Mus musculus: one gene and its partner. The protein of the gene in region 1 interacts with the protein of each later gene in a biochemical or structural test. Links are inferred from orthologs where the notes say so. Each region holds a gene or a part of one and is shown in the gene's direction. Other genes may lie near its edges.

Evidence for each region.
Region 2: the proteins of Cttn (region 1) and Actr3 form a complex in vitro, tested with the Homo sapiens proteins (3 studies listed by BioGRID). The link is inferred for Mus musculus from reciprocal best matches to the Homo sapiens genes CTTN and ACTR3.

What each region holds. Positions count from the first base shown.
Region 1 is NC_000073.6:144,468,136-144,472,381, reverse strand, and holds the start of Cttn (src substrate cortactin), read left to right. Parts: upstream 1-1,446; 5' UTR 1,447-1,693; intron 1,694-4,246.
Region 2 is NC_000067.6:125,395,067-125,397,727, reverse strand, and holds part of Actr3 (actin-related protein 3), read left to right. Parts: intron 1-183; coding exon 184-276; intron 277-495; coding exon 496-621; intron 622-2,576; coding exon 2,577-2,660; intron 2,661-2,661. UniProt on the Homo sapiens protein: ATP-binding component of the Arp2/3 complex, a multiprotein complex that mediates actin polymerization upon stimulation by nucleation-promoting factor (NPF).

The sequences.
Region 1 (4,246 bases):
GATGGCTGGGTGTTTGCTCTGCAGGCATGAGGGACTGAGTGTGATCCTCAGAACCAATGAGAGGATGGTGGGTGGAGTGGTGCACATTTGCAATCCCCTCAGCAGAGAAGCAAAGACAGGAGGATCTCTGGGGCCTGCTGACCAGCCAGCTTAGCCTAGTGGATGAACTGCAGGCCAGAGAGATCCTGTCTCAAGCAGTGAGTGGCCTTCCTGAGGAAGATGCCAGAATGTGTCCTTGGACCTCTGTATGTGTGCTCATGCAGTTGAATGCACACTTACATGTGAATTGTGCACACACACATGGGAACATTCTCCTCTGACACCTGACATCTCTTTTTCCTTCCTGATCTATTCATAAATTTTGACAGTTTAGCCTTTTGTTTTCTGCCTTGTGGTGCTAAGGTTGGTACCAGGGCCCTGTACATACTAGACAGGCACTCTACCACTGAATTACATCCCTAACCTCCCTCTTTCATCTCCTTTCTCCTCCTCCTCCTTCTGGAGAGGGGGGCAGGAGAGACAGAATCCCTCACTTGGCTGATCAGGACCAGACTGGCCTCTAAGTGATCCACTTGGCCGCTGCCTTATTAGCTAGCTTTGTTATACAGTCCAGGACACCTGTCTAGGGATGGACCACAGTGGGTTGGCCCTCCTGTATCAAGACAATCATGCCCACAGAATAACCTAAATAAGACAAGTACACATTTGAGATTTTTTTAAAAAAAAATGTGATTCTAGGCTGTTTCAAGTTGACAGTTAATGTCAACTAGGACAGATAGATGAGTGGATGGATAGATAAGTAGATGGATGGTTGACACATGGGTGTATAGGTGACATGTTGGTTAGTTTTTGTCAACTTGACACTAGAGTAATCTTGGAAGAGGAAACCTCAGTTGATGAATTGCCATCAGACTGGCCTGTAGGCTAGTCTGTGGGGGCATTTTCTTGGTTACTGATTGATTCAGAAGGGCCCAACCCACCGTTGTGGGTTGCCACCCTTACACTGGTAGACCTGGGATGTGAAAGAAAGGCTGAGCAAGCCAGTATGCAGCACTCCTTCATAGTCTCTGTTTCAGTTCCTGCCCTGCCTGAGTTCCTGTTCTAACTTCCTTCCCTCAGTGATGGACTATAATTTATGAGCCAAATAAGCAGTTTTCTCCCCAAGCTGTATTTGATCAGTTCTTTTTGTTTTGTTTTGTTTTGTTTGTTTTTCGAGACAGGGTTCAGTTTTTTGATCACAATAGGAAGCAGATAGATGGAAGAATGGATGAACAGATGTATGGCTAGATGAGTGGGTGTATGGGTAGATGGGCAGAAGGACAGATTGGTGGATTGGTGGGTAGAAGATTGACAGGGGAGTGAATGATGCTGTGTAGATCCATGCGTGGGTAGAGAGTTGCAGGGTGGATACATGGTTGGAAGCTGGGTTGAGGGTGAATGTGTGTTGGACAGGGCTTGACGGGTGTTTCTAAATCGGATCTCCGCAGCTGACTGGCGGCCGAGCTGCCTATGAGTCCTGGAACTGTGTATCCTGCTTTCTTGATCAGCTAACAGGAATACGGGGCGGGGACGGCCTGGAATAGGGCGGGATCTTGCGTGGCCCCGGATGCGGCCCCGCCTCCGCGGAACCGGAAGTGAGCGGGCACAGGGAGCGGCGGGGCGCGGCGGGAGCCTGGTGGACCCTGCTGGTGCGGTGAGCGGGGGATGGGCGTCCTAGAGAGCTGCTGGGGGACAGGAAGGGTGTGGGATGATGAGTTGTCAGGGTGCCGGGCCTGGACGGGAGGTTGGGGTACAGGGTCTGGACTGGGCCCAGGTGATCCGAGTGCGGGGCAGGGTCGGGGCCCAGGGGTGCAGGGCCAGGATCTGTTGGTCGAGGCCTCGGAGTGTAGGGCTGGGACCCCTGAGTCAGGATTCCAGGCCAAAACCCGGTGTTCGCGGTGTGGGGCCGGGATTGTGACTTGGGGTGTGTGGCTGGGGTCGGGCGTCGGGACCCGGGCTGCAGGGCTAGGATCGGGGGTTGGAGTGCAGTGCTAGGAGGGGGAACCGGGGTGCAGAGTCAAGGCCAAGGGTTCGCGGTGTGGGTCCGAAATCGGGGGGTTGGGGTTGTGGTGTGGCGCTGGGATTCGGGATTCGGGGTGTAGGGCCAGGATTGGAGGCTCAAAGTCCCGGGTCGCAGGGTCTGGATGGGGACGTCGGAGCCCCGGGTATTGGGCAAGGATCGGAGGTTTCGGACACCAATGCTGAGCCGTTCATCCCGTCATTTGTGGAGTAGCTAGGGGTGCACAGCCGGTCTGGCTCTGAGGGGGCGGGCCCTAGGACACAGGCCCTAGGAATTTTGGACATAAAGAAAGGGGTGGGGTTTCAGAGCAGGAACCCAGGATGAAGTGCTAAGTCGGTTTGGGGTGTTCTAGGTCAGAGTGCATAATTATGGGTCTGTGGTAGTCAGAGTACCAGAACCTGGGAAAAGAATGTAGACCTGAGGCCTGGGAGATGCTGGTGGGGGTAAGGGGACTTTGCTTCTAGAATCTAGTGGAATGATGAGGGCCTGGGGGAAGCTGGTGGGCCTGGGGAGCCTGGGGTTCCAGAACCCAGTGGAATTATGAGGGTCCAAGGACCTGTAGGAAGTTGGTAAGGCTGAGCAGCCGGGTTCCAGCATTGGTCTCTAGTCCTCAGGACTGGGCTGAGAGGCCAACATCTGAGGAAAGGCCTGGGCACCTGAGGGAAATTTGCAATGGGGTCAATGGAAATCCAAGCGCCTAGCTTGCTTCCTGGAGCTAAGGAGCCTGGAATCCAGCCGCCCCTCCTCCTGGGTGTGTGCCCAGTCACTGCAGAGGTGTTTGGGCCTGGTATGTTCCTTTGTTTCCTCTTGGTCCGTGTGAGGGATGGGGACTTGTGGCCAGGGAGAAGGAATTCCCTGTTGTGCCCAGTGAAGCAAGCAGAGGCTTTAGCCCTTCCTAGTGGTTTGCCCTGGCTGCACTGCCTGGGCCTTGCCAGTAAGTAGCCCAAGCTCCAGTAAGTCCTCACCACCCAGTAGACCCTCACAGTCAGAACTTACAGCCCACCCCCCACCCCCCTCCCCCAGCGTCCACCAGGGGTCAGGCCTCTGCTGGCTCACCCAGAGTGAGTCACCAGTTCAGGCCCTGAGTCAACACTGCTTCTCTGTTTGACTGAGAAGGTTGTCACCAGAAGTTTGAAGGAGGGAGAAGCAGCTTTTGTGGGAGCTTCAGATGTAGAAGAGTGCAGAGGTGGGGTTGAAGAACTGATTGTGGTACTAGGTCTCCAGAGCACCCTGGGCCTTGCTAGACAGCTTCTCCACCCAACTTTAGCCCTGGCCCTAGAGCTGACCTTTAATTGAGGGCTTATGACAGTTATGCCTTTAACACCTTGTAAAATGCCAGGGAATTTAATTGGCCCTTCAGACTTTGACCTGTTAGTCGGGAAGGCACCTGGCATAACTCCGCACCGTCCTGAGCATCCTTACCTCCTTGTGCCCCTGGTCTTTGTCCTGGGCATGGTCGTGTCTGCCTACCAGCTTGTCTCTTAATGGAGTCCTGGGCAGGCTAGCCTACTCCGTCTGTGCACTGGCCTCCATAGGCATGGGGTGGGGGTTGCCCTTTCCATAACAACTCCTGACCCAGCCACCTTTGCTCCGCTGCGCTATAGGTATCAGGTTCAGGGCCTCAAGATGGTGGATTCCTCCATCCTGTGACTAGGTCCTCTCTGACTGAGCTTCGTGCTGGCTGTGTGGGGCTGAGTGGCTTTCTCTGTCCCCGTCTGATTTCTATCAGCTTTATTGATATTTCACCCTACACGTGATCACCCGATTGAAGGGTTCAGTGGTTATCGATGTATTCAGAGTTGTACAGCCATCACCACAAACAGTTTTGGCCTTCTCAGAGATCTACATAGAATGTGCATGCCCATGGTCCCAGTGGCTGGGAATGCTGAAGCAGAGGACCTTAAGACCAAGGAGTTCTGGCCAGCCTAGGAACAAACCTGGAGTCTGTCTGTCTGTATGTGTCTCTCTTTCTACTCCTCCCTCCCACTCCCTTTTTGGTGGTGGTTGGGATGCATTTGAGACGGATCTCTATAGCTTTGATTAACCGGAAACTCACTACGTACACCAGCATGCCCCCTACACTTGCAGCCATCCTCCTGCCTCCTGAGTGTTGGGATTATAGGCTGTGGGCACACACTATCAAGCTGGGCCGCTCTGCTCTGTCCTTTAGAAAAGAACGAAACTGGA
Region 2 (2,661 bases), on another chromosome or scaffold:
CATAGTACAGGCATGGCTTGTTAATTGAATCTTGCCTGACTTCTATCCTCAGTAGCTGTAGTATGTTGGTCACCATGGTCCTTTCACTCCTGAGCTGGATTGTTATTAACTTGAACATTACACTAACACAATGTTAACATAACAATTCTATACACTCATGTATAAAATATACTTAATTTTCAGTTTGCTAATCCAGATTTTACACAACCTATCTCAGAAGTTGTAGATGAAGTCATTCAGAATTGCCCCATTGATGTCCGGCGTCCTCTCTACAAGGTTAGTGTTTACAGCAAAAACTGGAGTTTTAAGTTTTCTTTTCATAATATTTAATAGCATATTTTAAAGCCTTTATTCTTGTTCATTGTTGAATATTAGAGAATTGTGTCTTAGAAAAGACACAATTGAATTCTTGTATATTTGTCTCTAGATTGCTTCTCTTTTAAAATAAAGATCATAATTTTTGGTTTTTTTTGTTTTTGTTTTCTACCACCACAGAACATTGTCCTCTCTGGTGGTTCAACCATGTTCAGGGACTTTGGACGTCGTTTGCAAAGAGATTTGAAGAGAACTGTAGATGCCAGGCTGAAGTTAAGCGAGGAGCTGAGTGGTGGTAGATTGAAGGTTGGTTTTCTCAACCATTGACAGAGAATGTGGAAGACCCCCTTGTTACTGCATTCTGGACAGGAATGTTTGCCAGCTCTCACTTAGGAGCATTAAGACAATCATGCCAGGCGTCCTGCTGGAAGGTAGCCACTATCCCTAGAATCATGGGTGCAGTTTGTTGCTTGGTACTTTGCTCTGGTTTGAGCTCTGTTGAGAAATGACAAAATGTCACAGCTCAGGCAGACTGCTTGTGCAAAAAAGGTTTTTATGTTTGCTTTCCTCCTCAACCAACCAATTCTTCTGACACTCACATAACTCCACTGTGTGAAAGGCTGACTTGTGTTTCACAGATATAGTTTTAAATCTGTGTAGCAGGGCCTGGTGAGATGCTTGTTGTACACACCCAGTGACCTGACCTGAGTTTGATCCCTAGAATCCATAGAAAGGTGAAAGGAAAGAAGCAACTCTCAGTGTTATCCTCTGTCCTCCTCAAGCATACCATGACACACACATAAAAGTTTAAATTCTGACTTAGGGGAATTCATACATTGATTATAAACACAAGGTATGGCTGTTGACCTAAGACATATTTCACCAGTTGATTTAAGAATGATCTGTCAAGCCAAAGGAAAACAGAATAAAATTAAAAACAGAAGAAAACAAAAACAATGTTATATTATTTAGTCAAGGAACATACATTCCTCTTTCTCTCTCTCTCTCTCTCTCTCTCCTCTCTCTCTCTCCCTCTCTCCCTCTCCCTCCCCCTCCCCCCTCCCTCCCTCTCTCTCTTCCTCCCTCCCTCCCTCCCTCCCTCCCTCCCTCCCTCCCTCTCTTCCTTCCTCCCTTCCTCCCTCCCTCCCTCCCTCCCTCCCTCCCTCCCTCCCTCCCTCCCTCCCTCCCTTCCTCCCTTCCTTCCTTCCATAATTTGGGGTGGTGTGTGTGTACACGCATGCACCTGTGTGCTTGCATTCACACATGTTGAGATCAAAGGATAACTTGAATGAGTTGGTTTGATCCTTTTACCATGTGGGTGGGTCCTGTGGGCAAACTCAGATTGATAACAAATGCCTTTTAACACTGAGCCATCTTGCTGGCCTATTCTCCAGTTAAGGAGCTCTAGGAAGCTTCACTTTGCTCACTGTTTCCTAGCCTGGACATATTTGAAGAGTTCAGGCTGTGTATTTTCTGAACTTTGTCTTGGTATGGGTCTGTTTGGTGTTCCTTCTGGGTGGGTGTAGTTTGTGCTTTGACAGTCACATCACAGAAGCGTTTTCATGTCAGTTTTACTGCGTTTTGTCAGAGAATGCATTGACTTTAACTGCTTGGTAGAGGCTTCCTGCCAGTTTTCTTCTGTGTATAGCCTGTTACCTTTGCATTCCCATGTGTAGAAACTTAAGAGGAGGCTGTCAGGCCATATAGCTGTTCTGTGCTTCATGAGACTTTTCAACCAGCAGTTTTAACATTCATTCTTGTTTTCCTGAAATAGTTGTGGCTGAGGTAGTTGCCAAAAGTACAGTTAACTTGTTCCTGTTTGTGGCTGAAGTAGTTGCCAAAAATAGAGTTAGTTTCTGTCTGCCCTGGTTTTGCCCCATGCATGTCTCCTTATATGTATTTGATTTATATGTTTAGTATTTAATTATACATGATTTATGGAGTACAGTGTGATAATTTGATACATGTATGCAAGTTGTAAGATCAAAGCAAGGTAATAGCATTTCAGTTTCTTTAAACACGCATCATTGTATTTGGAGCCTCTCAACTCCGGTGTGGTAGGGCAAATACTGGTGCTATGCTGTGTGTACTGACAAGTGTGGTCATCTTCATCTGCTGTTCCATCACACCCACTCTAGATAATCTCAGGTCCTGAGTTCTGTCCCTTGGACTTTATAATTATTATTTTTGTGTATGCGCATTTAAACTTAATTGATTGAGAAATTGGTATTTGAATTTACTGTTACTTTGTTACTTTTTAGCCCAAGCCTATTGATGTACAAGTTATTACACACCATATGCAGCGGTATGCAGTCTGGTTTGGAGGGTCAATGCTGGCTTCCACGG